4 linked regions of the Astyanax mexicanus genome follow. Each later gene encodes a partner of the first gene's protein in a complex. Links are inferred from orthologs where the notes say so. Each region holds a gene or a part of one and is shown on either strand. Other genes may lie near its edges. The genes, in order: polr1b, polr1f, taf1a and polr1e.

Region 1 (7,972 bases):
ACAGTGTATTCTGTCAAAAAAAGTCAATTAAAAAAAGGGCAGACATCCTATTATGTTTCGTCCCTTTTGAGTTTAGAATTGACACTAAAGAAAAGGTGTTCTTATACTTTACTTATATCTTATATTACGCTTGTATGTGTACAGCTTATACTGTTCCCCTGTATGTAGCTTTGCTTTTAGCAAATATTGTAAAACTCAATATTAGTAAGATAATTAAAAAAAAAACTATATTTCTCAAAGACAAATTGAACAGGGTTTGCATATTTTTCTATCCACAGTATATAATAGAAAGGAATTTCAGAGTGAAAAGGGTAAGAGCACAGGCTCAAACTGAACACCTGTAAATTCCAATCCCTCAGATCAAACTACATTAAGAACCGCCCTTAAGCAATAGCTTATAGACATGGGTAAGAGGTTAAATTACAATAATTTATCAAGCTCTACAGTACAGAGGTACATTCTCAAATACCCTTTAAAACTGTACTGTGCAAAACAGAAGCCTTATGGTAACTATCTCCAGAAGTGACATCAACTGGGATGGATCATCACACAGTGAAAATGTGTATTGTAGTCAGATGACAACTGTTTTTAGAATGTGTTTTAGGCCTATATTAGTAAAAATACAAGAAACTGTTATTTTAAAACATCAACACATACTCACAGTGTGCCTATTGAGTGTCCCCATATGATCACCAGACTGTCTTTACTGCGGACCTTTACCCAGTGATACAGGTAGAGGGAGTCAGTGATCAGTCCATTTTCTGTGGGCTCACCAGTGGAGTCTCCAAATCCTAAAAGAGAAAAAGTGTTTACAGAGAAACTATTTAAAATATTTTTAGCATATAGATATTTTTTTATTTTAACTAACCTCTGTAGTCCATAACAACTGCATGATAACCCAGAGAACTCAGGAGCTGTAACACCAGATAATCCATCAGCAGGACACATCATTAGCATTACAGCATCACATGGTTTAGATTTCTAACAGTGATGACAGAGGAGCTACTCACGTTGGCAACTCCTATCCGATGGGGGGCGGCTCTTTTATAAGGAAATACAAAAAAAGGACAATCAACAGAAACAGCACCTCATATAACTTATGAATTTTAATGAATAGAAATACAAATAATTTGGAATCACAAATCATCTATATTTCATGTGTGCTACAGACTTGAATGTGTGATGGTAAGCATTTGCTGATTACAGATCACTCTGCAAGTGTGATTTCTACTAAAAACAAGGGTATTAGAAAAAAAAGGTTTATCCTGATTTTGTTCCACTGTCTCCACAGTCCAGAGAAGACTAGATCTATCTACTAGGTTTTAGAACATTGCTGCATTGTGTGAGGATTTGCAACAATCTGCGACATATTCCCCACCCCAACTCATTCCCAGAACCACAGCTCAGTGCTGGGAGAAATATAACCCTCCACCCCATGCCTGGCATGAGGCACATTGCCAATAGGTTCATGTTTATCTGCTTGAGAGAGTTCTGTTCTATTGGCAGTACTTCTCTGCAGTGATTGGACAAGCTGTGCATTTACACATCTGTGTAGCAATGCATTCGCTAAAAGGGGTGTCCACATATGTTTGGACACATAGGGACAGTTTCTAGGAAATTAAGCCTAGTCCTATATTTCCTTTTTTTAATTCTCATTCAAAAGACTCTGTTGTCTAATATTAGGCTTAATCCCAGTTTGAAAATCTGCCCCCAAGTGTATAGTTTAATTATTCATGGTGATCTAAATGTATTTAAAAGATAGGTCTGCCCACCTGTTATGCATATTTGCATGTAGATAGATGAAAACAGGTGACCCATCACCCAAAGACTTCTCATACCACTCCAGATCCTTCCCCTGAGCCTCCTTCCACTTGTGCTCAGGCACAGTGTGCCTAACACACAGTTACAGAAAAACATCATAATAAACACAACTGGCCAATATACAGAACATTAGAAAATTAATTGACAAAGTGAACATATAACATGCAGAGATCATTGAACTGACCACACGCCCAGTGTTATCCCCTCTTCAGAGCTCAGGTACATATTAATGGTGTGATTAAGAGCGAGGTCAGCAGGACGACTCAGGTCAACGAACCACAATACTGAGGAAGGATTAATAAAAATAATAATGTGTGTTTATTTGAAGGCTGCAATAAACTTCACATACGACATTTTATTTTCATTATAAGTGAAGGTGTAAAACATACTAGCATGTGAATAAACCATGTGCTGTACAAAGGCAGGAAAGAGGCGAGGTATAATCCGTGGGGCCGCATACAGAACACAGAGCACCAGGAACGTCCATTTTATCCACACTCTCCATGAAGATCTTGAAAAGAAAGAGATGGACAAACAAATACAAACTACTCAACATTTATTGAGATCTTATGGAGCAGTATAGGCTTAAATTGAATAAAATATCACAAAATCTATCCTATTTTCTCTCTTGATTAGAAGACAACCAAGCTCTGATACAACAGCTAACAGCCACCTGTGCTGACTGACATTACACTAGGAGTAATGTGAGAGGAGAGCGCCATCAACCCACCAGACTCCGGCTACTGATGGCAAGCAGCATAATCTGGGATTTAATTGGGTAATACTCAGATCATAACGGCAACAGATTAGTCCGTCTAGTCCATCATAGCAAACGTAGAAAGAAGATCATGTTTAATTTATTTTCAAGTTTATTAACAGATATAAAGAGATCAAACTTCACTTCTGAGTTATATGCGGACATGCTAAACATGGTAGTTGTCATAGGACAGGAAATATTATCATGTTCCATGACTTTTGTCATGTTGTGCCATGAAACCTGAGTAATTGCACTGTCCAATGTGGGTGGTGATGCCTTCTAAGACAGTCCTGGTTCACACATATTAGACACTTTGTAAATGGAATGTCCCATCTATCTGGCACACACCATCAGGCTTCACTTACAAGTGATACTAACCTTGCTCTCACTTTCACAGCTTTGTCCTTCCCCGATTTTCCCTCAGTGCTATCAGAAGCAGCAGCTCCATCAACTCTTCTCCTCATCATGAGTAAGAATCTGTGGGTTCCTGTTAATTTTGTACAAATATCCAGCAATGTTTAAACACAACAGACAGGCAGCATGGTGTTCCTTCAGCTACACCCACCTTTCACTCTGCCCTACACAAACCCTGGACTCTGCCCCTTAATTAATACATCTGGTGATGTTGTTTACGTACACCAAGCTTCCAGTTAATCAACTACCCTGAACCTGGCATCAAGTAGAGGTACTGAGCTATATATGATCAGATGTTTCAGGACACGCCTTCTAATGAATGTTGAATGTGTGCTAGAGGTTATAAATCTCTTATCTCTGAATGCAACCAAATCCTCACAACCATACTTCAACATCTTGTTGTAAACCATCCTTGGACAGTAAAGAAGAGTGACGTCAACAAAATCAGGATAGGAAGGAAGGTTAGCCTGTAACAATACAGAAATTATGAAGAATACTAAAGTAAGAAAAAAGACACTAAACACTAAACCCTACTTTTTCCATTAATAGCTGAAAGGACTCTTTTTTGACTTTTGATTCAGACACAAAAACTTCATCACTACACCTAGTCTAGTGCAGGCAGCAAGCCATCAAGTCAGGATTCAATGCGATTCAGACGTATAACTTATACCTAAACAGTTGTTGTTTTTTCAACTTTTTCAGTTCTATTTTACAGTTCTTTTTCTGCTGCACTTGTGCTGCTATAAAAGTGCCATACAAATAAATGATATGCAGCTGTTTACTGTAATCTTACTGTACGCTTTTGGAAATGTACTTCTACCTACTTTAGTCCAGTTACCTAACTAAAACACACACCTTTACCTGGAGTGGGTGTAAGAAGATCCGATCGAAGCCTCTCCGTATTCAGCTTGGGGACTTTTATTTTGAAACGCAACAGCCCGTGTTACCAGTGAATCCCTAATAATAATAGAGAGGAGAATACTTACGTAAACATGTATTTTGAGTTAGAAGGCGGTCCCGAGTGATCTCCCGAGCTTCATGTTAAAAATATAAAGGATTAATACTTTTTATACAGAAAAGCTATCATAGAATTTTTAGGGACTTTTATTTTGAAAACGCTGTAACCCTTGTTAGCAGATAATGTCAAATAATAATAGAGAGTTAAATACTCACATAAACATTTCTGTTTATTTAGAATGAGCTCCAGAGTGAGTCAAACAATAAATGGGGATATGTGGAGCTTAAAGCTAAATTATTAATACTTTTCATATTGAAATAATAACATATTTTCTAATACAACACAAAACAAGGACTTTTATTTTGAAACGCACCAGCAGCAGTAGCCTCTGTTACCGGATCAGCGTGAACAGCCCGGGTTCCTGTGCAGCAGACCCACGTGAGGAGGAGACAGCATGGACTACAGCACGAAGTGGAGCAGTTTACCCGCTGCGCCCAGCCTCAAACCTCTCACACAGCCCGGCTACGGGCTCCCGAAGGAGCAGCAGCAGGCGGCCGTGCAGGATCTGGTCAAAGCGCACATCGACTCCTTCGACCAGGCGCTCAGTGATGGACTGGCCCAAGTGGTTCAGGTAGGTTCAGCACACTGTGCTCACGTGGAGCTGGGCCACCCCTGTTGTTATTCTCCCTGTATTAAACCAGTGTATACAGTACCAGTCAAAAGTCTGCACATACCTCTTCTCCTTCACTGCGTTTTCTTAGTTTTATGATTTTTTTACGTTGTGAATTTATCATTTTAGGCATTAAAATGTCAAGTCATGTCAAGCAGTTTTATTGTCAATACTGCATATGTACAGAGACACTATAGGTACAATACAACAAGCTCACAGATTCTTTCTTTCACATTCATGAACAAAAGACAATAGTGCATTTGTGATGGGTGGATTGAAAAGGAATGGCAGTACCATTATAAACAGAACCTGTATAATAATAATATATAAAACATATATATATATATATATATATATATATATATATATATATATATATATATATATATATATATATATATTGGCCCAAAAGAGCCAATGGTGACATGTGTCACAGATCCTTTAAAAGCTGTGTAAGCTGTGTAATTTTTTCTTACAGCATTCTCTTCTTTACTTTAACTCATGAAACCCCTAAGTGACATATACTGTATACTGGACATTCATTTACAGAATTTGTACAGAATTTTTTTTGTTAACCTTTAAGGAAAGTTTTACGCCCCATATAACTACTACTAGTCTGTTTTCTTAGGAAAATGTTGTTGTTATTTATGTTACGTCATGATTTTAACCTTAAAATATTTACAGTCATTTCTCTGCAATAAGAAACCAAAACATTAACTGCTCACTGAATTCATCTGATTTTGAAATTGATATCAATATTTAGAAATGTATCTTGATTCTTATGGGTTATTTTTTCTAAGTAGTCACATTTAGCTTTGAGGACAGATCTGCACACTCTTGGTAATTTAATCTGTCTTTGTGAAGTAGAGTTACCTAGAATAGTTTCTTCATTGTCTTGAAGGAGTTCCTGGAGGTGCTGAACATTAGTTGCTGCTTTTCATTTACACTGTGAAGCTCCAGCTCATCCCAAATCACCCATCTTAGTTGGGTTTAGGTTAGGGGAAGGGGATTGTAGCAGACAAAAAACTTTTTAATTTACCAACAAGCTACATAATTCCATGTGTGTCCCTTAAATATTTTGAAGTCTTTAATATTATTGTACAATGTACAAAATACATTCAATAAAGAAAAACATTGAAGGACAGTAGTTGTTTGGAATTGTTCACATTTTAGTATGGTGGGGATGCCAGTCTGATTAACATCTGGTTGCAGTAAATTAGTTACTGTCTGAATATTACTCTCTGTTATTGAGCTAGCAGGTTTACTGTGCATAACAGTGTAACTGAGCAGTCACGTACAGTGTGTTTTGGTGGTGTTGTCTGGACAGGATCTAAAAAGGCTGTTGTTTTAATGCTGCATGTACTGAGCCAAATAAATGCTGGATACCTCATTTCCTTTATTCTCAGGCAATTCCTCCTATGGAGTTCATGCACAAGGGGGACAGGATCAGCCTGGCGTTTGTGGAGGCCACCGTGCACAATCCTACTGTAGCCAAAGGAGGGATCTGTAAGGATCTTCGTGTCTTTCCTGCAGAATGTAGAGGAAGGAGGTGTACATACAGAGGCAAACTGGTGGTAGGTTTAATTTCCTGCATTGTTCTGTACTTTAACTCTTGGTGGACATCCAGTAAATAGTGACATTAAAATATTTCGAAACTGTCCTTAATAATACATTGTATGCTGAACAGCTATAGTATGACTTATTATTGAATTTCAGCACATGACTCCACATGATGTCTTGTTTCTCACCTTTCTGTTTTTCTTTGTAGGCAGACGTCAGCTGGTCAGTGAATGGAGTCCCTAAAGGAATTATAAAGCAGTCTTTGGGCCAGGTGCCCATCATGGTGAAGTCTAAGCTATGCAACCTCCATGGCCTCTCCCCAAAAGAGCTTATCGAGCATCATGAAGAGGCAGAGGTACAAGACAATTCTGAAATCTGCCAACCACAGAAAAAATAATACATTAATACAATGTATATTTAATCAACTTTTTGATGTTCTGCAGGAAATGGGAGGCTATTTTATAGTGAATGGTATTGAGAAAGTAATCCGAATGCTCATCATGCCAAGGAGAAACTTTCCCATTGCTTTGTCAAGACCCAAGTTTAAAAGCAGAGGGCAGGGATACACGCAATACGGTAGGTGCTCTTTAATAACATTTCAATAAATTGATCAAGCTGAGGCTGGAGAATAAGCTGGTTTATTACTTGAATTTCTAATCTGGGTTCTGTGTTCTCAGGTATTGCAGTGCACTGTGTGAAGGATGAGCACACAGCCATTAACATGAACCTTCACTACCTGGACAATGGAACGATCATGCTTAACTTCATTTATCACAAAGAGCTCTTCTTCCTTCCGCTTGGTTTTGCTCTTAAGGTAAATGATAGCTAAGCTCTAGGGCCTCTAACATTTTAATAATTCAATTAATGTTTGTTTTTCTTCAAAACTGCTCAGATTCCTTGTGTAAATATGATCATTGCCTCTTGTAATTAGGTCAGTTTTATGATCATGGTTTATGTTTAAGTTTATGATTATGAGATTAGGGCTGCAAAATATATAATTTCTGCATTGTCACTGAAATGTGGCATGCGCAATAGACACATAGACGATGTGCCGTGTCATAAAAGTACTGATACAAATTCAAATTCACATTGTTAACATTGTATTTTTCATGACAGATGATATCTGCCAGTATCATTTATTATACTCCAGTCTCGTATATACAATTAATGTTATTAATATTGTGTCATGCAGGATAATTAAAAAGGTTTTCCAATATAAATGTTAGTAAATTGTTATTGTTATGAATGTTAGTCTTGTATAAAAAGTAAAGTATGTGTTTTTAATAATTTATTATTTTGTCGTCTGTGGATCTTAGGCCCTGGTGGACTTTTCAGACTACCAGATCTATCAGGAGTTGATAAAAGGCAAAGAGGAGAACTCCTTCTATAAGAGCTGTGTGTCTGAGATGCTGCGCTTGGTGATGGAAGAGGGCTGCACCACCCGAGCGAAGGTGCTGAACTATCTGGGCGAGCGTTTCCGGGTCAAACTCCACTTGCCAGAGTGGTACACGAACGAGCAGTGTGCTAAATTCCTTCTAGAGTAAGTGCTCATGTGGAGTCAGTCCTAACATCATGTAGACAGTGTACATTCCACACTGGCAATCGAAGAACTTCATTAAAATGCTTTATTATATTTCATATTGTTATATTTAAAAAAATCTAAATTTATAATAAACAATAATAATAAATAAATAATAAACTATCCACATGCCTCCAGGCTCCAACTCAGCACATTCTTTCATTTACTTACATTATCTTGTTGTTAGAACCCTTCCAAAAACAGCTACACAAA
Region 2 (8,131 bases), on another chromosome or scaffold:
TATATACAACATAATTTGATTTTAAAAGTATTAATTAATGCAGATATCTTGATGAGGAATTGATTAGGAACTGCTAATCTTTGTAAATCTCTCTCTTTCTCTTTCTCTCGTACCAGGAGATGCTCGATAACTCCAGTAACGGCATTCCTCAGATCGCGTACAACGGACGCAGCGCATCGCCGTGACAGTCGGGGGTCTTCGCAGTTTTGATCTGGTTTCAGGACCGTCTCTGTGCGCTAAGTGGTGCTGACGCTCCGGGGCTGAGGGCTGTCAGTAGGATGCTTTGCAGCTCTCCCCGAAGACTACAGACTCTGGGTCAGGTAACACTACTGTGGCAAAAAGAGATCGCCTCTCCTGGACTGACAGCCAATCAGCATTCAGTTACCCGATGACCTGAGGGGAGGTCATTACGAAGTGTAGCATATTGATGACATGCATAGAGCATCGTACCAAAATGAGCACAAAATGAGCATGCATAATCCTTTACTTTCTCTTTATCTCTCTCTCTCTCTCGCTCCTGCGCTCCCTCCTCCTCCTCCTTACTGCATTCATCCTGCATCTCTCCATTAATCCCTGGTGAGAGGTTTTTGGAATGTCGATGCTGAAATTGTAATGCTGAAATGTTATGGCATATTGAATGCTCTGACCTCAAACATACAAAATGCACAATGTAAAATGCTTATATAAGGGATAAATTGTTGATTTACAGTATTTTTATATAGAGGCTTCATATGAAAACGAAATAAAAATGACTGAAACAGACCCTCCTGTAGTGGTTACTGTGGGATACAGTGACTTAAGCTAAAGCTAAGGTATGGAGTGAATTTTGTGCCAAAAGATTTTATGCAAAAAAATCAAAATAAAATCTGCAATCAAAATCTTAAAGTAAGAATAAAAAGTAAAAAGTGTGTACAGCTGTACAGCTCTGAAAAAAATAAATAATAAGAGACCACTTCAGTTTCTAAATCAGTTTCTCTAATTTTGCTATTTATATTGGTATATATGGTATATATTTGAGTAAAATGAACATGTCTTGTTTTATTCTATAAACTACATTGGAACAGCATTTCTCCCAAATTCCAAAAATAAAAATATTTAGAGCATTTATTTGCAGAAATAAATGAGAAATGGCTGAAATAACACAAGTCCAGAAAAGAAAACAAGTTCATATTCATAAGAGATTCATTTTAAGAGATCATAAATCATAATTTGTTGGAATAACCCTGGTTTTTAAACACAGTTTTCATGCATGTCGGCATCATGTTCTCCTCCACCAGTCTTACACACTGCTTTTGGATAACCTTATGTCACTCTTGATGCAAAAACCCAGGGACATAACTAAAATGTGTATTTTAACTTAAATATTATGGATTTATGATGGAAAATATATATATTTTTTTAAGTATAGATGGGATTTGGACACATAGAACAATCTCTGAAGGATTTTAATAGTTAAATTTCATGGTAAAGTTTATAATTATCGAGTGAGGAAAGGTTACAAATGCTATTTTTACAGTGTTCTAAGTAGTTTTATTACTGTTTTAATTACATATTTTACTTTTTTAATTAGGTCAATGCACAAGACAATATGCTTAATAATAAAATGTATTTTAAAAGTATTTTGTATGCACATTTATACATGTAAATTCCTGGGGACAGAAATGGCACCGATTTGGTGGAATGGTGGAATTGTTTTAAACTGTTGCAACTATATGATTTTTTTTTTACACATTTATATTTTTCTTTACTGTTTAAAATCAAGCACTGAAGGTGGTGTGCTCTTATGTGAAACAGACCTGCACATCATCAAAGACTGCTGAACTCAGCTCACTGATATGTGTGTTCAGGACCGCAGGACTGCAGGACCACGACAGCAGAAACAGCCTGGTGCCGCTGCTGACAGGGTTCTACTGTCATCACTCGTCAGCACGTAACATGCCACCGTGCAGTACTGTCCACTCGCACACGCAGTGTTATCTCCCTCTGATCACTGTACACTCGCCAGCCTGCCTGACCTTCACTGGTGCCTGTAAGGCTACATCAGGTCTGACACTAATGGCTGAGAGGGTCAATACTTACATTTACGTTGAGTCATTTGCTGGATGCTGCTCTTATCCAGAGTGTCTTACTAAAGCATGCAAACAGTAGAAGGTGGAGTAGTAGTGGTAGGTTGGTACAGCATCTGAAAGGATTTAAAAAAGAAATGCATAAAAGCGTTGGAGTGATGCCACAGATGGTGTAGTTTTTTTTTTTACTTATTAACCCCTTAAAATGTCTTGTCCTGTATAAGGGCTACAGGTGTAGGCGAGACAAAACCCTTTTTCTGCAGTAAAATAACTTATTGACATTCTGAAAATTTAAGGGAATTAAAAAAAAAAATGTCCTACAAGACACTTGGTGAAGCTGCCTGTTCACTTTCTCTCTACTCCACTTAATAATTCCAGATCAGCAACAGGAATTGAGATTGAAAATAGACATAAAAACTAGACAAAAGGTTTGAAAGACGTGAACTGTTTGATTTGTATTCAGGAAAATATTAAATATTAGAGCCAATTTTATGATTTTATTCATTTTATACGGACTACGGACAACATTTCTCCCAAATTCCAAATAAAAATATTGTCATTTAAACCCTTTATTTGCAGAAAATGAGAAATCCTAAATAACAAAAAAGATGCAGAGCTTCAAAGAAATAATGCAATCAAGTTCATATCCATAAAGTTTTAAGAGTTCAGAAATTAATATTTGGTGGTTTTTAATCACAGTTTTCATGCATCTTGGCATCATGTTCTCCTCCACCAGTCTTACACACTGCTTGTGGATAACTTTATGCTGCTTTACTCCTGGTGCAAAAATTCAAGCAGTTCAGTTCAGTTTGATGGTTTGATGGCTTGTGATCATCCATCTTCCGCTTGATTATATTCCAGAAGTTTTCAATTTGGTAAAATCAAAGAAACTCATCATTTTTAAGTGGTCTCTTTTTTTCAGAGCTGTATATATATGGCCAAGAATTGCCCATATCAGTCTATTCAGATTTTTTTATGTATTGCATTGCAATGTGGCACTTATTTCTTTGATAATGAATGTACATAACCATTTTTATAGGCTATTCATGATATTTTTTTTTTACCACCACCATTTGTTTCTTGTTTCTATATAAAATCACTATATGTTCCTAAAGAACTCTTTTAAACCCAAACAAATAGGCAGGTTTGGGAGTTTGTATCACCGCAGAGTAAACAAGAGGCCTATAACCCAGAGAAAAACATGCTGGTGGTCTGTTGTTCTGAACCATGGTTCAGAGGAAGAACAAGAATGAGCCCTTAGAGGCTTTGCAAACAAAGAGCATGAGTTTGATATTGATCCTGCTGCAACAGGAAGCCAGCAGAGTGCTTTCAGAGTCACACAGGTTATAAACAACTTCACAGGTTATAGGCAGGTTATAGACCAGAAGGTCAGATAGTCAGAGACCTACAGTAATTGAACTGTCCAACAGTAGGATTACTGTAGGATTTTGGATTATTTTATTTATCTAGCTCATTTATGACCCTGTTTGTCAGTTTACTTATGTTTGCCAATTAGTCGATATAATACATAATTATGATATTTAAAACAACTGATGTTTGCGTGTACATAAAAATACTTAATGCCGTTTTACAAATTGCTTTAAACAATTGGCTGATGCACAAAATGACAGACAGGTACTTCACACTTTTGATTGGCCTATGCAACAATTGATCTCTGTTGCACAATTGAACATCTCGGCCGTGTCTAGAAACCCTTATCATCTAACATCTTATTAAAAGGGATATGTGCTTTTATGCTAAAATACTTTGTATTATGCTCTTTAACAAAGACAGACATATGGTAAGGCATATTAATAAGTGTATAAATGAATTAATTTTATATTTATATGTACATTCATACACATACAGCTCTGGAAGGAATTATAAGACCACTTCAGTTTCTGAATCAGTTTCTCTGAGTAAAATGAACATTGTTGTTTTATTCTATAAACTACCGACAATATTTCACCCAAATAAAATATTGTAATTTAGAGCATTTATTTGATGAAAATAAGAAATGCAGAGCTTTTAGACCTCAAAAGTTCATATTCATAAAGATTTCAGAGTTCAGAAATCAATATTTAGTGGAATAACCCTGGTTTTTAATCACAGCTTTCATGCATCTTGGCATGTTCTCCTCCACCAGTCTTACACACTGCTTTTGGATAACTTTATGCCTTTACTCCTGGTGCAAAAATTCAAGCAGTTCAGTTTGGTTTGATGGCTTGTGATCATCCATCTTCCTCTTGATTATATTCTAGAGGATTATAATTTGGTAAAATCAAGATATTTTTTTCCAGAGCTGTATATTCTGTATATAAATACACATTATATATATTTGTGCAACATTACCCTTCTCGATCACTGTGGGTTAAACGCCTCCTGCTCCGGGACAGTAGGGGGCGGTACAGACCCCGAACCCAAACCCAGCAGCGCTCAGTTTTCCCCTGCAGAAGACCCGCACCACGTGCTCCTCCTGCGATTCTCATGGCGAACTCTAAAAAGTTGGATGAGGATCGGAATCAGGTCTCCGAGCCCGCCGGAGGTTCCGCCGCGCTGTTCCCGGCCGCGGGCAGGGACGCCCCGGTCTCAGCCAGCCTGCTGCCGTCGTTCGCGGCGGCCTGTGCGCTGGTGCAGGCGCCCTACTCCTGCCTGGTCCTGGAGTCGCACCGCAGACACGTCGTCCTGCCGCCCGCCTTCATCAAGAGGAAAAAGACCGGCATCCAGGAGGAGCTGAACTCAGAACTGCTCAAATACTCCAGCAGGTCAGTCCCAGCGAGATAAGATAGATTAATTGTTCTGTTCCACCTTAAAAACTCTTGCAGGTCAGTCCCAGCGAGATATGATACTCTAACTGTTCCGTTCCACCTTAAATACTCCAGCAGGTAAGTCTCAGGGAAAGAAGATAGCTTAACTGTTCCGTTCCACTTTAAATACTGAATCAGGTCAGTTACAGTCAGGTAAGATACTTTAACTGTTTTGTTCCACCTTAAATACTTCAGCAGGTCAGTTCAGATAGATACATTAATTCTCCAGCAGCAGCTACCGTCTGGCGCCTCTGGCTTCACCATTTAAGGTGGAGCCGATAATTAGCTAGAATATTTTTTTTACCCTATGACAGTAACCAAAAAGTTAGGTATTTCTTAGAATGTATTGGAATAAAATCCTAGCGATATATGCCGAAATATAGAAGAAGCAAAAGTAAAAATATACTTACAAAATATATATATATATATATATATATATATATATATATATATATATATATTGTATATTGTAACAGGTACTTAAAAATAAAAATAACTCAAAGATTTGCTCTCAGGTGGTTCATTTTTTTCCCCTATTAACAATAGAGAAACCATCACACTGACAAGAAGTGAAGTTGATCAATATTTTGTTATTAAGAAGTAAGACTAGTTTATTCAGTGATTATTGTTGTTGTTGTTGTTTAGGCCTTTATAAAATGCATGTTTCTCTTCTCAGTTTGATAGGTGTGCCATTGGCGTATGATCACATCAAAATCGTAGGACAATACGGGGACATATTCGACGACCAAGGTTTCATCCACCTAAACATCGAGGCCTCGTTTGTCGTCTTCAAACCAAAGAAAGGAGATAAGCTTGTGGTAAATAATTTAGCATCAAGCACTAGCTAACAATTGCGACGAATTAGCTAAGGTTACCTGAGAAAGAAATAATGTTAGCAGAGAGCTAGCTAACATTAGTGGCAAGTTAGCTAACCTTACCGTTGAGAGAACTAAAGTTAGTGGAGAGTTAGCTAACATTACCAGAGATCTAGCTAACAATAGCAGCAAGCTAGCTAAGAGAGAACGAAGAGAACTAATTAGTTGGAAAACCAGAGAAATTATGACTAGATGTTTGGGTCTTAAATTGTAATTATTGAGGTCTTAAAAAGTATTAATTTGTCGTTGTTTTTTTTACTAGGGTGTGATAAATAAAATGGCGGTGGGTCACGTGGGCTGTCTGGTGCACGGCTGCTTTAACGCCTGTGTAATGAAGCCACATCTTCTGACCCCGGAGCAATGGAGAGACTCTGGGTTTAAGGTTGGAGACCATCTGGAGTTTGAAGTGTTTCAGCTGGACGCTGATGTGGCTGGCGTCCTTCTGATCAGAGGAAGACTGGAAAAATACAGGTATGATGAGCTTTAAAAGTATAAAACTGGTTATCATGTTTTATAAAAAAAGTTTGTGAGACTTCAGTCAGCATATTTATCCCAAATGCCATTAAATTTATGGATTATGCACAGCTCTGGGGGAAAAAATAAGAGACCACTTAGAGTTCCTTTGATTTCACCAAATTGAAAATCTCTAGAATATAATCAAGAGGAAGATGGATGATCACAAGCCATCAAACCACCAAACTGAACTGGTTGAATTTTTGCATCAGGAGCGTAAAGCATAAGGTTATCCAAAAGCAGTGTGTAAGACTGGTGGAGGAGCCACCAAATATTGATTTCTGAACTCTTAAAACTTAATGAATGTAATCCTTTTTTTTTTCTTTGCATTATTTGAGTTCTGAAAGCTCTGCATCTTTTTTGTTATTTCAGCCATTTCTCATTTTCTGTAAATAAATGCTCTAAATGATAATATTTTTATTTGGAATTTGGGAGAAATGTTGTCTGTAGTTTATAGAATAAAACAACGATGTTCATTTTACTCAAACATAAACCTATAAATAACAAAATCAGAGAAACTGATTCAGAAACTGAAGTGGTCTCTTAATTTTTTAAAGAGCTGTATGTGCACATCAACACATAGACATTGTGTGTCTGCAGTGTACAGGGTTTAAAAAAAAAAAAATGGTGTTTTTTCAGGGTGAATGAGCTTGTTGCTGCAGTCAGCAGTACAGAAATGGAGGAACAGAGAACAACCGAAGAAGCAGCAGCTGAACCAGAATCAGCTCCTAAAGACGAAGGCACAGAGGACATGGACTCCTCGAAGCCCAAAAAGAAGAAGAAGAAGAAAAAGAACAAAGAACTAGACTCGGAGACAATGGAGGACAACGGCAACCAGGTGGCTGAGATGGAGACACTTGATTTTAACAGCAACGGAATAAAGGTAAAACCTGATTCTGACGGCCCTTCACAAGAGAAGGAGAAAGAGAAGAAGAAAAAGAAGAAGAAAGATAAAAGGCACGAGGCAGATGAAGAAATGCCTTTAAACACTGAGCTCCTAAACAGCGACTCCAGCGGATATTTAAGCGACAAGAGTAAACGCAAGAGGAAAGCACAGGAGAGTGAGGGTCTTCATGAAGACTCCAGCATGCCTTCAGTGAAAAAGAAAAAGATTAAATGATAAGTGCTTTTACACTGTGACTGTCCTCACTTCCTTTCTTTTTTTTTTTTTTTTTTTTTTGCATAAAAAGTGCCTCCAAAAGTGCCAAGATTGTTTGTATTATTGTGTAATAATCTAAGGTAAATAATAAAGCAAATAATATCACTTGGTAACGTGTAGTTCCACCTATTCACCAATAGAGGTCAGTAAGGAAATACTGAATGGATGTGTGGACGAATGTTGCTTCAGAATTTAGACTTTAAATTAGCTTTTTATTTAAGTATTTTAATAATACACAATAAATGCTGCTATTTATAATTACACAAACTCAAGTTGTGCACTGCAGTTTTTTTTTTTTTTAAACATAATGAACAAAAACCTTCTTACTCCAACATCAATCTTACTCTCGCTTATTCTCAGTCGTACACTTTAATAAATAATAATTTAATTAATCCACAGAAAAAAAGATTAATTGAGATTATAAAAAAAAAACATATATATATATATATAAAACGCGTTACTATTTTTTTACGCAATTTAATTAAGGCACCAAGTTTGACTCCTACTTCCGCCGTAATCTGCCCCGCCCCCGCTCAACGCACTGATCTGTCATCCGGCTATATGTCTCTCTCTATTTTTCTCTAGTTCTCCCTATATTTCTCTTTCTCTCTCCTTCTCTCTCTCTCTCTCTCTCTCTCCATTTCTCTCCTCTCTTTCTATTTCTCTCTCTTTCTCTCTCTCTTTCTCTCTCTATATATATGTATATATTTC
Region 3 (8,273 bases), on another chromosome or scaffold:
AGCCGGTGAGCCGCCAGTGCTAACACTCAGTTGTTTTTAGAGGAGGGCTATCCGGGTCCGCAAAGTAAAAATCCAGCACAGGATTTTGCTCCAGCTGACGGGCTGATACTGGTCCGCCCGGCGGGCTGAACCCAAACCCTGGGCTGGATTTTAACCGTGCGGACCCGGATGATCCAGTAGTTCAGCTGAATACATAGTACATGCCCCAGTAGTACATAGTACACCAGACCCCTTTAATTACTTACTACTGCACTCGTCGTCCGCACATCTCTTAAAGTCGGAAAATCGCCGCTCCAGAGAGGCGTGTGTAAAACGCACACAGAAAAACAGTATAAAAGGGTAAAAACGCCACAGCAGCGCTGTCATGTTGGCTGGTTGGGATAGGGCAGCGGGCTGCCTGAGCGGGGGCACAGCGCTGAGCCGAGCCGAGCCGACACGTCAGCAGATCTGCAGCCGCTGCTGCGTCTGTACCGAGTCTGATGCTCCAGGCAAGCAGGAGAAAAAAGACTGGAGTCATGTTACACAGGATCCGGGAACACTTAAAGACACAGACTCACAGGAACTTCCCCACACTCTGTAGAAGAAAACCAAACAACAAAGAACATTGAATAAGCATAATTGTATGGTTGTATTACATTTTGTATGTTGATGATGGAAAAACGACATTTAAACAACATTAACACGACATTATTGGCTAGCATTAAAATTCTGACATTAACCTTTTAACATGCCTTGTCTCGTATACAGGCTACAGGTGTAGGTGATACAAAACTATTTCTTTCTGCAGTAAAAAAAAAAAAGATTATTCACACTCTGACAACTTTGAGGGCTTTGAAGACTCTTACAGGTTTCTTGAAGAAGCTGCCTGACCACTCTCTTCTCCACTTAATAATATCAGATCAGTAACAGGAATCAAACAAATTACTGCAGGTTTGAAAATAGACATAAAAACTAGACAACAGTAACAAAACGAAAGGTTTGGAGGACAATACAAGTTTCATTTGTATTCAGGAAAATACTGATTTTAAAGTGAAGTTTAGGAAAGTACCAATGTTATGATTATTATTCATTATATTTGTAAAGGGGCAGATTTATTTATAAATTGTAAAATAATTTCTGTTACATTTACAATTATAATTTGTAGTCACTTTTATTACAATAAATGAAAGCTTTTTATATAATGCTTGATTTTTTTTTAAAGATTAAGGTGTGTAATATCAGGGTGAAAATGAACAAATATTCTAATCTGTTAAATCAACGTTCATTTAAAGGTTTTTATGTTTAAGGCTCTTCACCACTCACAATGATTTAGCCGAAACGTGCTCCCAATTAAATAATAATTATTGTTATCTGTTTTAGACTGGACTCAAGTCAAAAAAAGAACTTCTTCAAAGAGAAGCAAAGAAGAGACAGTGATCTGCAATGATCTGGGGATGCTTCAGCAAGGCTGGAATTGGGCAGTTTGGTCTTTGCGAATGACGCATGAATCAAGCTGCATACAAGGTTATCCTGGAAGAAAACTTCCTTCTATCTACTCTACCAATGTTCCCAACTCTGGGGAATGTTTTTCTTTTTCTATCAGGACAATGCTCAATTCCACACAGCTAGATCAATTAGGGTGTGGATGAAGAACCACCAGATCATGGTGTCATGGCCAGCACAATCTCCAGCCCTGAACCCCATTGAAAACCTATGGAATGTAATCAAGAGGTAGATGGTCACAAGCCATCAAGCTGAACTGCTTGAATTTTTTGCCAGGAGTCTCATAAGTGGCAAAGCAGTTTGAAAGACTGAAAGACTCTTTCTTAGTTACTTTTGTATTGTTGTTTCTAAATAAATATATTAACTTTTTTTGTTTGCATTATTTAAGTTTGAAAGCACTGCACCTATTTTGTTAATTTGACCTTTTCTTATTTTCTGCAAATGTATTATTTTTTATATTTTAAATATACAATGTTTTTATTTGGAATTTGGGAGAAATGTCATCAGTAGTTTCTAGAATAAAATCACAATGTTTATTTTACTCAAATATATACCTATAGATAACAAGGCTGAAGTTTGTTTGATATTCGCAGCTCCAGATTAGATAGTTGTTATGCAAGAAGCAACCCCAAAGTTAATTGAGAAAGTGATTTAGTTTTTTGTACATTGGTAAATAAAATGGAAAAAAAAAATCTGAGAGCTCAAACTGAACTGTATCCTGTCATCCAGATTTTATCTAGGCCCTGCTAACCCCAGGGTCTCATAACTGCCCACCCCACACACCATGTGGGGTGAACATGAGCAAAGGCCAGCACGGTAGTGGGGAGGGGGGATAATCGTGCTCCAGCATGGTTTAAACAAAGCGTGCCCAGTGTATGCCATAGACACTCCTACCTATTGCTGCTCCACACTGTAAATATAAAGTCAAAGAGACTCATCTGCTGCACAGTTTGTGTTGATCATTCTTTAGTTCTGTAGTTCAGTGGGTACCGGACACTTTCTAATGGAGGCTGGCCACAGGATATGTTTAAAAGTTGTCTGATTCAGTTGTACCAGCACAACACAAACTAATAACACACAACCACCATGCCAGTGTCACTGCAGAGCTGAGAATGATCCACCAATCAACCATCAATGCAGTAAAGAACATTGAGATCTCAGAGCTACATATGCTGCCTTTAGGACCACAACTTTTCCAGGCCGTTGCAAAAGAAGGTACTGGTACCGAACTGGCCTGCCTGCAGTCCTGATCTGTTCCTGGTAGATATCCCTGTACTGTTGCACATCTTTAGATGAAGAATGAGACAAAATAACACCCGAAACACTTAATCACTTGATATCCTCTGTGCCTAAATATCTTCATAAAGTCCTGTGATAAACAATGGTAAGATTACAAAGTGGGAAATGCTTTACTGTCCTTTTGGAATATTTTGCTGAAATGTGTTTCAGGGCTGTTACTCAAGAATTAATGAACAATAATAAATCAAATGAACAAAAAAACATAAAGATAAAAATGTAAGACATTTTTCTTATTTGGGGTTTTAAATGTGGTCACAATTACTCCCTATATAAGGTATAATGGATATTTTCATAATTCCTGAAAATTGAATATAAAATACTGCACAACCAGTTAATATAATCCAAGTTCTCACTGTTTTCAGGAAGTGTGAGAAATGGCACATTGTGTACATAGGCTTGGTGTGTATTTCTACAGGTTTACAGCTGCTTATCTATCTTCTCTAAAAGGAATTCATCTGAACCTGAAGTGTGATCTTATCTAAGCCATAAATAAAACTGATTAAAGAAATGCACAAAATTGCATAATTATAGTCATACATTGTTTTTTTTTCACTTATATTTTAATTAATTGGAGCTCACCAGCTTGTGTGAACAGTTATATTGTATAAACGATCCACAATCAATTTAATCCTTAGATGCATAGTAAGTCAAAAATTACCCAAACATCTTTCTTGCAATATCTTCAAAATGAGAAGTTCTCATTTCATATTTCAGATATTCCTTAAATAATATATTACTGGAATCATGCCACATTCATTTTAACTTACCTTTTATACATTTTACTAAAATCTACTAAGTCTTTTGTATTATCGCCCCAATGGTGGTCAAGAATTACCCGCATTAATATCCTGTAAAAATGCATGGGAACAATTGATTATCAGCTGTGACAGAAATAAATATTTTGTGGACCACATAGATGATATCAAAAATGTCACCCTTTAAGAATATTATTTTACCTTAATTTTTTTAACCCCCACCAAAATGATGTGTGTATGTCTAATTAAAATATATGTGTGTGTGTGTGTGTGTGTGTGTGTGTGATTCATGTCTGTGAAGGAGTGTTTCTTATCATAAAAATAGCTTATTTTTCAGTTTTTCAGCAAGTGTGCTTCTTGACAAATAAAACATGATCTCTTTCTGTTTCCCTTAGACTGTCTATGTGAGAAATCATTTACCATGTCAAGTAGTACAGGCCTTAGTGTCCAACATTGCTGTGATGAGTGAAGCCTCTATACAGCAGCAAATAGAAATCAAGATCTCTGGTGCTGCATGCTCGTGTCGTGTGCAATTAAAATGTTTAAATTCAAATGTTTCATTAGAATGTTTGCTAATTTTAAGCTAAATGAGTCAAATATTCCATTCTAATTTAGAATGTATTTAAAAAGTTGATCTGAAGTCATTCTGAAATAAATAAATAAAAAACTAGACATATGAAACTTGGCCATGTTATGTTATCTGTTCTCAGCCTGAATACCATTTGCTATTTTTTGAAAACACAACAGAACTTCTAGACTTTTCTCACATTCATTTACATAAGACAACCGGACATCAGGTGAACGAATGTGTACGGTTTGAGCCGCATCTACAGTATACAGCAATATATAGCAGTATACAGTTTTCAGTGATGATCACCTGCTATTAGAGAAGAGCACAGTGGCTACACTTTTACTCTTTCTTTAACAAGAATGACCAACATATAATGTCTGTGTGCCATTCTAGGTGAGCACAATGCAGGCCCCCTTGTGAAAAAGTGTTTGGCCCCCTAAACCTAATAACTTGGTTGTGCCACCCTTGGCAGCAACAACTGCAATCAAGCTTTACCGATAACTGGCAACCAGTCTTTCACATCTCTGCTCTGTGGAGGAATTTTGGTCCACTCCTCTTTACAGAAATGTTTTAATTCCACCATATTGGAGGATTTTTGAGCATAAACATCTTGTTTAAGATCATGACACAGCATCTCAATCGGACATTGACTAGACCACTCAAAAACCTTCATTTAGTTCATTAATTTTTCTTTAAATGACTTTATTCTACTTCCCAGAATTGATGTAACACCCTGGATTAGTTACTAATGAGTGTAGCTCCATTCACTGAGGACTCAGTCGCGGACTCCCTCTAGCGGAGTGCAGCAGTGCTCTGAGGAGGAGGCAGGAGGTGGGTAGACGCTCTGGTTCCTCTCCGACGGTAGATGGCGGTATGCGCTGAAACCATGCGGTGAACCTGCAGTTAGTCTGTAGAAAAACAAAGAGCACGTGAGTTTCATACGAGCGGGAGACGCGCTGTAGATAGAGAGAGAGGCCACACTCAGATAACTCCACAGCAGCAGAGCCCCTGTACGAGCTCTTACCACACAGCCCCTCTCACCAGAGAGAGAACTGAGAACACTGAACATACAGGACTGTCTATTGTGAGTCTGTCGGTTATGGATGATATCGAAGCAGAGCTCGGTATTTCTCGATCAGTAGGAAATGAAGACTTTTCAGACTCTTCAGAGGATGAAAGAGTTGCCAGGAAGATCAGACCGCCTATTCTACTGCACTCCTCCACCGCTCAGGGTAATGTATCTTAATAAAAATACACTAATCTCAGCTGCTGCACCACAATAAAAAACACTTCATATTCAGTTTTAACTGGTAAAAACTCAAATTACACATCAGATTTGACTAGAAAAAAACGCCCCTTGCAGTGATCAGCAATACAATATTTACCAGTAATAATATCAGATCTACAGCTCTATAAAATCATTCTCACTACTCATACTGTCAGGAACACATCCTGAGTGTAATTCTGACTAGTCATATGATATCCCTGATTTACACGGAATTTCACTTTTTTATCTACAGTTACATTTTACCAGTTAGATGCTCTTAAGTTAATTGAAATTGAATGAAATTGTAATTCCAGGTAGCCTATATACACTGTAATTCAACTCAGGTATTGACATCTACAGTTCAGGTTTCGATTAGTAATAATATTATTATTTCCTGGTAAGAATAACAGTGTAGATGTGTGGAACTAGTACTACATTATTTTACTAGAAAATTGTAGATCTTTGAAACTTTAATGTTTTAACTAGTTAAATATAATTATAGAGCAAAGAATGTGAGATTACTTGTTAGTCAGTGGTAACCTGACTAGTCAGAATTACATTATGGACGTGTTACTTATACTGTCTAAAAAAATGTAAGGGAACACTAAAATTCCAGTTGAAAATCTTTACAGATATAAATTGTATAATAAGTTGGGTGGGCAGAAAATCTAAGTAAAACATTGAAATATTAGGCTCATCCAATTTCTGTAAGTTTAATAACAGAAACTCAATGTTTTTTCAAATCCTTCATTAAAGTGCACACTGGTGACTGGGGCTGGGGAAGGAAATTTAATTCAATATTTTAGATTGGAAACGTGAATGCCTTTGGGAAAAATCCTATGCATACTTAGGTAGTATGTATTTAGCATATTTAGTTTGAACATTAGGTGAGCAATGTTTTATCCAGTGAGAGGAATCTGTCTTATATGTTCATTTTCCTGTAAATAAGGGAAAATTATTAAAAATATATTTTTATGTGCCCATTGGAAAATCCAAGTTTCCAACCAGTGAATATGAATTTGTGTATGCGTTTTTGAGATTTCCAACACAAAGGCAGCATTGAGCTTGTTAATGTATGTGCCTCAGGCTATGCTTGTAGGTGAAAGGGTACATACACTTGATTGCAGACATTACTTATTTGTATTTTCCACTTACAATAATTATTTCATTTTAGCAAGGGCTAAAGAAAGTGGTTTTCACGAATCTTCAAGACTATGTCTGAAGGCCATAAGAGACGCTATGCTGCACCATCATTGGCAAGAGGCAGCACAGTACTTGTCTGCTTACTCTCAGACACTGGAAGATACCACAGTCAACAAGCAGTCACTAGCCTGTGAGGTAAGCAATTCTCTTTGAGATTACTTGGATTTCTGCGTAAATTGGTAATTAAATGTCACAACAATAGACAAACACAGTCTGCTTAAACTAGTATCACATATGTTTGCATGGTTTTATTGAATAACTGGTTGACCCTCCTTTGGCAGCAAAAACATCAACCAAACATTTCCTGTAGTTGCAGAGCAGACCTTCACAACGGTCAGGAGGAATTTTGGATCATTTATCTTCACAAAACTGTTTCTGTTCAGCAATATTCTAGGGATTTCTGGTGTGAATCGCTCTCTTGAGGTCATGCTACAGCATCTCAACTGGGTTAAGGTCAGGATTCTCCAGAAGGATTTTTTTTTTCCGTTGAAGCCAACTAAAATGTTAGCATGTGCCAGAGATTTCTGTACGTCTTTAGCTGACACTCTAGTATTCTTCCTCACCTCATTGATCATTCTGCGCTGTGCTCTTGCAGTCATCTTTACAGGACGACCACGTCTAGCGAGAGTCGCAACAGTGCTGAACTTTCTCCATTTTTAGAGTGTCTGTTTTACCGTGGACACATGAACATCAAAGGCTTTTAGAGATACTTTTGTAACTCTTTCCAGCTACATGCAAGTCAACAATTCTTGAACGTGGGTCTCCTGAGAGCTCTTTTGTGCGAGGTATGATTCACAATCAATGCTTTTTAAGAACAGCAAACTCAAAACTGGTGTATGTTTTTTAGGGCAGGGCAGCTTTAACCAACACAATCACCAATCTCATCACATCCTGGTTCCAATTAGCTCTTAGAAAAGTCATTAGCCTAGAGGTTCACATAATTTGTTAACATGTTGTGTTTAATGAAATCAGGCAAACATATATCTTTTTTGTGGTATTAGTTTAAGCAGATTGTGTTTGTCTATTGTTGTGACTGATGAATATTAGAACACATTTAATGATCAATTTATGCAAAAATCCATGTAATCCCAAAGAGTTCACATACTTTTTCTTGCAAATTTATATCCCAATGTTTATAAAAGGCAATCTCATAACTGTGCAGTAATTAAGGATATTGTACTAGTGTTAACTGATGCTCTGTAAAATACAGGTACAAAGTGGGACTTTGTGCTGAAACAATGACATACCAACTGATGTTTTGAATTGTTTGTTTAAATGACACCATTGTTTACAGTTTCAAGTGTTTTCTTTAATCCTCAGATTATTTGGAGACTAGGCACAGAGATTCTTCAGCATCATCCAAACTCTCGATTGGAAGATTTTAATGCTTTGTATGAACAGATGAAAAACTCTGGAGTGAAAAATTATGCTAAGGTATTATTATTTAAACATCTATTTGGATTTTGGTTTGCTTTTTTTCTTTTAATTTAAACCCAGAGGTAAATCTTAAGATAAATATAAGTAATTATCATTTGTAAAATTATTTGATATATTTAAATCATTATTTTAAATTCTCTGTTACAATAAATAATATTTTTATGCACAGAGATAATGGCATTATTTGTTTGTTGATAGATCTGTTTGGAGCACTCTTTTCACCTTCTGTTGAATGGTCACATTTACGATGCTAAACGTC
Region 4 (7,732 bases), on another chromosome or scaffold:
GTTTAGGCAGCGAGTGAGTGAGTCAGGGCTGCTGGATGTACCTGTGTATACGATCAGGCATATGAGAGTGAAGAGCAGCTCCAGACAGATGATGCACAGCAGGAGATAAACAGAGAGATTCTTCACTTTCTTGTCCAGCAGGGGGGCGGGGCCAATCACCACCAGCAGCGCCGCATTACCTGCGGAGAGAGCGAGAGAGACAGCGAGGGGTAATAAAGGACAAGAAAGGAGAGATAAAGAGAACAGCAGAGAAAAGGGAGGAGTTTAACAGCATTAAACTGAATGGAGCTGAACTGTATTCAACTTAAGTGGAGTTGAACTGGATTAAACTGGATTTGGCTGCACTGTATTTGAAATGAATTGAAATTAAACTGGATTCAACTGAATGTTACTTCACTGTACTAAACTAAACTGAGTGAAAATGAAGTGTATTGGTCAGAATTAGAGCTGTACTGTATTAAACTGAGTGTAAATGAAGTGTATTTTTCAGAATTAGATCTGTACTGTATTAAACTGTGTGTAAATGAAGTGCATTGGTCAGAATTAAAGCTGTACTGTATTAGACTGAGTGTAAATGAAGTGTATTGGTCAGAATTAGAGCTGTACTGTATTAAACTGAGTGTAAATGCAGTGTATTGGTCATAATTAGAGCTGTACTGTATTAAACTGTGTGTAAATGAAGTGCATTGGTCAGAATTAAAGCTGTACTGTATTAGACTGAGTGTAAATGAAGTGTATTGGTCAGAATTAGAGCTGTAGTGTATTAAACTGAGTGTAAATGAAGTGTATTGGTCAGAATTAGAGCTGTGCTGTATTAAACTGAGTGTAAATGCAGTGTATTAAGAGAGTGATGGGAAATGCTGCCTCCTGGAGGATTTCTGGGATCTTGCAGTGTGTGGGTCAGTACCTGCAGAGTGTATGAACAGGGGCAGGCGTTTGAGGTCCTGATTGGCTCTGTAGAACTGCAGGTATCCTCTCCTCCTGGCTGTAGTGTGGTGGTGGTTCACACACCACTCGAACCCGAACACCAGCAGCCACAGCCCCACCTTCCCCAGCAGCACCACGGTCTGAGAGTCCACCCCGTTCAGCACTGCGTTACACTGCTCCGAGTGATCCTCCGCCAACCAGCACAGAACCGCCAGCACCACGCTCACGCTCACATACGCAACCTGAGGACACACACAGTGATCACACACATCATACACACTTACAGATTCAACAACTGGTTACTTATCACAGAATAAATGTCTCATGTTTGAGTATATGTTTGAACAAAATGAACTTTGTTGTTTTATTCCATAAAGTACGCACAACATTTCTCCCAAATTCCAAATAAAAATATTGTCATTTAGAGCATTTATTTGCAGAAACTGAGAAATGGCTGAAATAATTAAATAATGGCTCAAATAATGCAAAGAAAACATGTTCATTTTCATAAAGTTTTAAGAGTTCAGAAATAAATATTTGGTGGAATAACCCTGGTTTTTAAATCACACTTGTGTGTGTGTGTGTGTGTGTGTGTGTGTACTGACGTGTGCTGCAGTCAGTAATCCGGTGATCCAGGCTGTGGGAAGTTTCTGGAACTCTCTCCTGATGGCCGACTCCAGAGCATCCTGAGATATGAGCGGCCCGTCCATCAGCGGGTCATCCTCTATACTCTGAGTATAATCAGTACTGGGGTTACTCTGCACACACACACACACACACATAAGGACAGGAGATCAGTGACAGGAGATCAGTGAGAGTATAAAGTGTGTGGCTGCAGTAGGAAGTGTTTAGATGGAGGCTGTTTGATGTGCCACACTTCAGTCGGAGCTTCTAAAAGAGCTGAGAATGATCATCGTTCAGACTCTTTATTCCCAAAAGTGAGAACTGTCCAGCAGATCAATCCCACAGCTCTGCTACTGCAGCACCTCACCTTTACCTTTACCAACGGCCCCATTGTGACAGAACTGTATCAATCAGCTATAAAAAAGACGGAGAGGCCGTTATGAGCCCTGCTCTCATACACAGGGTATCTGCAGTTATGGGGAAATTTAATTATTACATTTAAGGTTGTTTAATACCAGACAGAGACTAAAAACTAATTAAAACAAATCAAAACCAAAATAAATTTTACAGGCTTTAGAGTACACCTTTTTGACAAAACTAATATAAATGTACAGTTTGGTAAAAACAGAATAGGATCTATTTGTTCCATGTAAACAGGGTCCAGCACAAAACATATTGTTATAACCCTAAATAACCCTGAATAACCTTGGCCCACATTCAATACTGAGGCGTTTTTTCTAAAGGAACCAAGTAGAACCCAATATAACCCAACATAATTTAACATAAACACAACAGAATCCAATAGAACCCAATTTAAAACACAATATAACGCAATAGAACATAGTAACAATATAACCCAAAAACCCAAATATAAACACTATATAACCCAACCGATCCCAAAATAAACACAATACAACAATAATGTAACCCAATATATCCCATTATAAAACAATACAAACACAACATAAATAAGAAAACACAATATAAACACAATTTAGCCAAATAGATCCAAAAAACACAATATATCCCAACAGAACCAAATAATCACAATAGAAGCCAATAAATGCAACAGAATGCAATACATCCGAATAACACAATATAACCCAATATAAACAGAATACAAGCACAATCGAATCCAATATTACCCAATATAAAGACAATATATCCCAATAGATCCCGATATAAACACAATATAACAACAAGAGAACACAATAAAACCCAATAAATCCCAGTATATTCACAATATATCCCAAAAGAACCAAATAAATACAATGAAACCCAAAATAACTCAATATAAACACAATAGATCTAAACACAATATACCTCAATATAAGCACAATAAAAGACAATATAACCCAACAGAACCCAAAATAACCCCAATAGATGACAATATAACACAATGCAACACAATATAACACAACAGAACCCAATGCAAACAATCTAAAACCAGCTAAAATAGCAGAAAATCTTGATTTAACTATATTAATACACGATTCAACAACTGAATAACTCAACAGTCACACTCTATGAAATACAGAGCCAATAAACTGCTTGTTTGTTAAATATATAAGTTATATGCATATAAATGTAAAATAAACTCTGCTTTTATTATTAAACACAATTAAAAAACGCTCCATAAATAAAAATAATAAAAAACACAACAATATAAACAATATAAATACAATTAGTTGTTAGTGCATTATTTACACCAGAATAACCCAAACACACAGGTTTAAATCTCACCTGAGGAGCTGCGGGTCGCTTAGAGCCCATAATAAAGCTGCTGTAGTTTATTAAACTCTCTAAACTCTACTAAATTACAAATAAAATCATATAAACAGTTTATTACTCAACATTTATACACCAGCTTCAAAACACCACACATTCTACTTCCGCTACCAGGGAGCTGCTGACACCCGTCAAATTAAAAGTCTTTTTCGTCTAATTTGTCCTTTAAAATACTACCACTACCACGCCCTTTTTTCTATTCACGTTTATATTTATGGTTTCTTCTATATATATATTCTTATCATACAACAAAACAGCATTAATAATAATATTATTAATATACAATAATAAAAAAATATATTCAAATTCTTAATAGCATATTTAACTGAGAATTTTCAGATCAGATTTTTGGAAAACAGTAAAGGGAAAAAGTCAAGTTAATAAATGTTCATAGCCAAACTCTACTATTTAGAAATAGAAACAATGTACAATGTAACCAGAAATCACAAGGCAATGAAAAAATAAATGTTAAAGAGAAGAGAAGAGAGTTCAGGAGGGGCGAATACAGAAAAGAGTAATTAAAAGTCCGTTTTTAGCTAATTATATTACTATTAAATGACTGATGATGATATTTAAAACATGTTATAAAATAACTAATACAACACTGATGTCACAATATAATTAATGACTATTATTTAGATATATGGCAATACTGGTAATAAATCCCTTATAAACAAAATACTAAGTCGTTCACTCATAGTTGTTTTGCCTTTTGCTTTAAACGTGTGACAGACATATATTATGGGCTGGTTTTAAGCTTCTGAAGGGCGGGTTTTAGACTGACTTTTGGGTTGGATATTTTTGTTGGACCTGGCAACCCTCACTACAGCATGGCGGCGCCCTGTGCGTGGACAGCGTGTAATACGAGCGGGCAGGAGGACGCAGTGATCGGTGATTTAAACCCTCATATCTCTGTTATAAACTCATATATCTCTAATATAAACTTTAACTATAGTTATTACTGCTTTAATCTGCAGCAGGAACGCTCTGTGTTTGAGATAAACAGATTATTATTACTGTTTCTTACCCACGTGCTGCAGCTGTAGCTCCTGTATCGGTTCAGAATCAGCATAAACAATATATTAATTGATTAGACCTTTTTCCCAAGTTTGACCTGCTGTTACTCCAAAGTACTACAATAATATCACTGGAAACTTAAACCATTAATATTATAGAAAAGCATATATGAGACTTTAATGGTATCATTTGATTGCAGTTTGATTGGCTGGTTTTATAGGACTCCAAAATCTGATTTATGCAAAACCCAATAGATATTTTTCTTAAGTTTGATCTCCAATTATTCCAAAATACTACAATAATATCACAGGAAACTTAAACCAATAATAGCATAGAAAAGCGTCCATGAGACTTTAATGGTATCATTTGATAACAGTTTGATTTGCTGGTTTTGTAAGACTCCAAAATCTGGTTTATGCAAAAGAAAATAGATATTTTAGTAGATTTTATTATTAATAGATAAGTTTGACCTTACATTAGTCCAAAACACTACAGTAATAGCAGACAATACTTATACCATTAATAGTATAGAAAAGAATTTAATGGAGTCATTTGATAACAATTTCACTTGATTTTTCAAATTTTTTTCCTAGGTTTGATTAACATGCTTTGCATATTTGTATACATATTTTAAAGGTATTGCAATTATTCTTTCTCCTAATTATAGGATGTTTTTCAGATTTATCATCTTATAATAATGGTTTACATTTAATAATGATTATTTAGCTCATTAGTAATTCAGTGATGATTTAAACTGCTAAACTATTTTTACATTATTTTAAATACAGTTTAATTCCCACTCTGTGTTCTCCTCTCTGTTCTGTGTTTGCAGTGAAGTTCTCTAATGGAGAGGTGAAGAACTCTGAGCAGCTGGACTTCAGACTCTTTAAACATGTGGACGAATCAAACCCGAGGAAGAAGCGCCGCCGGATCATCGTAAATACACAGATTCTACATTTCATTTACAGCACTAAACACACACACACACGCAGCTGTATTAATATATAAATATATATGTACTGTATGTGTGTTTAGGCTGCAGAGTCAGACAGGCTGGCGTACGTTGGGAATAACTTCGGACCCGGATCCTTACAGTGCAACAATCTGTGCAGGTAGGTGGAGTTAAAGGTTAAAACATGTGTTTAAGAGTAAAATTAGAATATTATATAAGACCAATTGGTACTTTTTAAAAGCGTGGCTAGTCCTGCTGGAAAATGAAATCCGCATTTCCATAAATGTTGTCAGCAGAGGGAAGCATGAAGTGATTTTTTTTTTTTAGATGCACTAGTATATGTAATATAATTAGGTAAGTTACTGAATGGACTTTTATTCTGTAGGTATTTTGTGGGAGTGCTGGATAAAAGGACGATGGAGATGAAGGTTCATAATGCTCAACTCTTCAACTTGCTGCCCAGTATACCAGGTACACACCTCTCAAACACCTTACACACACCTGTAGTGTTTAGATGATCTTCACTGGGAGAGAGAGTGTACTGTCTGATGCTTGCTCGACCATTTAAAAGTCTTTAGAGTTTGTTTTTTTTTTAGTGCTGAAATGTTTTTTTTTTTTTTAATCTTATCATTGGCAAATGAATAATTGAAAATGTCATTAAGTATTAGGAAGGAAAAGTATTTGGATTGGAAAAATAACAGGACTGTTTCATTTTCTCAGGAGAAACAGCAGCAGACGCTGATAAAAACGAGACCAAGACCTACAGAGACAAGGTGAGTCTACAATGCAATTCAATTACATTTTTATTATTATTTTTTTTATGTATAGCGCTTTTTACAACAAAAGTTGTTACAAAGCAGCTTTACAGAGGAAAACAGGTCCACGCCTTTAATATGGCCTAAAAATGATCTTTTCCCCAAAAATCCGATTTTCGAATATAATCTATTTTGTTCACCCCCTACTAAAAATGTAAAACAAATGACAAAGAAATGGTTCAAAACTATGTTTACCCTAAAAAAAAAAAAAAAAAAAAAAAATATATATATATATATATATATATAAGTACGAGCTCAGTCCTGTTTAAAAAATATTTTAATATGTTATGTTAAGTCTGTGGGAGGCGCCGGTTATCAGGTAAGATGGAGAACCACTTCAGAAATCAGTAGCGTTTTCAGATATTTTAGATTAAAAAGGGATGGGGGCGTGGCCACCGTGATGGGTAGTCAGGAGGCACCGGGCAGTCACTCCACTGACCCAGTGGGGCTCTAGTCTCTTAATTTGTGACTTTCAATCTTTTAAGGGTCCGTTCTGCCTTAGCCTTCCTCTCACCTGTAGCGACCTGTAGTCACCTGAGGGCTGAGTCTGTATTTCGGTTTTCTGTCGAGTTGTGCTACCTATCGAACAGCGGGCTGCTCAATCAGTCCTGATTCAGACCAGCTGCGACCGGCAGTGGCTGCATGTCATGGCATGGGGTGGACCCAATATGTAAAATCGTGATTTAGATAGAGAAAACAGAAAGAAAAGAAAGAGAAAAAAGTGTGCTAGAGTAAAAGGACAGGGCTGATTCCCTGCAGGCAGGAGGTTTAGAATAGAGATTTAAAGGGGGATTGGTTCCATATAAAGGTTTAGAATAGAGCAGGCTTTACGGTTCTGTAGGTAAAAAGTGTCCCAATATTGGTTGGTTGCAGGTGGACGCTCTGATCGAGGCGTTCGGTACGACGAAGCAGAAGCGAGCTCTGAGCTTGCGGCGGCTGAACGAGGTCGGGAACGAGACGCTGCAGAAGGCGGTGGACCGAGCAGCCGGGAGCGTCATCAACCAGAAAGGACTGGAGGGTAAATTTCACAACTTCTTCACTTCTGGGAAGGCTTTCCACAAGGTTTAGGAGTGTGTTTATGGGAATTTTTACCATTCTTCCAGAAGCACTTGTATTAGGTCAGACACTGAGACACCACTCTAATTCATCTCAAAGATGTTCTATCAGGTTAAAGTCAGGACTATGTGCAGACCATTCAAGTTCTTCCTCAATAAACTCGCTCATCATGTCTTTATGAAGCAGTTATGTAGGAAACAGTCTACATGCCTAGATGCTTGCTTTTATACAAGCGAATAGTTTTGGCAATATAGGTTATATTTTTAGGTTATAGTAATCATACTAAAGGACAATCAGTAAACAGTATCATCCCTAAAAACACTGATGGCTCTATCTGTAGTTATTTTGACAGTTTGAAGGGAGTTGTTAGTAAGTGTTATTACAAAACAATACGTTATAATAACTATTAATTCTCTCTCTTTTTCAGTTTTACAGCAGGAAGTGGCTAATTCAGAAGCTCAGACTGAGGTGGCGCTCTTCCTCCCGCCGTGTAACCGAGATGCAGATAAGCCTGAGGATGTTTACCCGTTCGACGGCAGTATCCTTTATATCA

What was found.
Region 2: polr1b (region 1) and polr1f share a complex: the UniProt entries of both Homo sapiens proteins name them as parts of the RNA polymerase I (Pol I) complex. The link is inferred for Astyanax mexicanus from reciprocal best matches to the Homo sapiens genes POLR1B and POLR1F.
Region 3: polr1b (region 1) and taf1a share a complex: the UniProt entries of both Homo sapiens proteins name them as parts of the pol I pre-initiation complex. The link is inferred for Astyanax mexicanus from reciprocal best matches to the Homo sapiens genes POLR1B and TAF1A.
Region 4: the proteins of polr1b (region 1) and polr1e are in contact, whole or in part, in a cryo-EM structure (PDB 8A43), measured with the Homo sapiens proteins. The link is inferred for Astyanax mexicanus from reciprocal best matches to the Homo sapiens genes POLR1B and POLR1E. Residues at the interface, in NP_061887.2 of Homo sapiens: Lys254, Ser258, Phe259, Ser260, Tyr262, Gln263, Gln266, Ser295, Thr296, Gln297, Ser338, Thr340, Glu341, Ala532, Cys535, Pro541, Ile542, Asp543, Gly544; in NP_071935.1 of Homo sapiens: Gln27, Ser29, Asn30, Gly31, Tyr69, Thr76, Leu79, Lys80, Cys81, Leu84, Cys85, Met109, Gln110, Pro111, Leu112, Phe113.

What each region holds. Positions count from the first base shown.
Region 1 is NC_064414.1:41,431,012-41,438,983, forward strand, and holds the start of polr1b (DNA-directed RNA polymerase I subunit RPA2), read left to right. Parts: upstream 1-4,348; 5' UTR 4,349-4,404; coding exon 4,405-4,581; intron 4,582-6,026; coding exon 6,027-6,194; intron 6,195-6,388; coding exon 6,389-6,535; intron 6,536-6,623; coding exon 6,624-6,756; intron 6,757-6,857; coding exon 6,858-6,994; intron 6,995-7,496; coding exon 7,497-7,720; intron 7,721-7,972. Other genes in the region: lysophosphatidylserine lipase ABHD12, read right to left, coding at 2,006-2,105, 2,211-2,332, 2,957-3,045. UniProt on the Homo sapiens protein: Catalytic core component of RNA polymerase I (Pol I), a DNA-dependent RNA polymerase which synthesizes ribosomal RNA precursors using the four ribonucleoside triphosphates as substrates.
Region 2 is NC_064410.1:2,912,762-2,920,892, reverse strand, and holds polr1f (DNA-directed RNA polymerase I subunit RPA43), read left to right. Parts: upstream 1-4,483; 5' UTR 4,484-4,553; coding exon 4,554-4,831; intron 4,832-5,549; coding exon 5,550-5,691; intron 5,692-6,010; coding exon 6,011-6,219; intron 6,220-6,900; coding exon 6,901-7,381; 3' UTR 7,382-7,525; downstream 7,526-8,131. Other genes in the region: transmembrane protein 196, read left to right, coding at 117-185. UniProt on the Homo sapiens protein: Component of RNA polymerase I (Pol I), a DNA-dependent RNA polymerase which synthesizes ribosomal RNA precursors using the four ribonucleoside triphosphates as substrates.
Region 3 is NC_064408.1:54,374,565-54,382,837, forward strand, and holds the start of taf1a (TATA box-binding protein-associated factor RNA polymerase I subunit A), read left to right. Parts: upstream 1-5,022; 5' UTR 5,023-5,206; coding exon 5,207-5,339; intron 5,340-6,548; coding exon 6,549-6,712; intron 6,713-7,897; coding exon 7,898-8,011; intron 8,012-8,212; coding exon 8,213-8,273. Other genes in the region: mia3 (transport and Golgi organization protein 1 homolog), read right to left, coding at 246-366. UniProt on the Homo sapiens protein: Component of the transcription factor SL1/TIF-IB complex, which is involved in the assembly of the PIC (pre-initiation complex) during RNA polymerase I-dependent transcription.
Region 4 is NC_064432.1:23,893,747-23,901,478, reverse strand, and holds the start of polr1e (DNA-directed RNA polymerase I subunit RPA49), read left to right. Parts: upstream 1-4,121; 5' UTR 4,122-4,169; coding exon 4,170-4,230; intron 4,231-5,188; coding exon 5,189-5,292; intron 5,293-5,391; coding exon 5,392-5,468; intron 5,469-5,693; coding exon 5,694-5,779; intron 5,780-6,028; coding exon 6,029-6,081; intron 6,082-6,996; coding exon 6,997-7,141; intron 7,142-7,606; coding exon 7,607-7,717; intron 7,718-7,732. Other genes in the region: tmem192 (transmembrane protein 192), read right to left, coding at 42-179, 908-1,169, 1,533-1,685, 3,295-3,324. UniProt on the Homo sapiens protein: Component of RNA polymerase I (Pol I), a DNA-dependent RNA polymerase which synthesizes ribosomal RNA precursors using the four ribonucleoside triphosphates as substrates.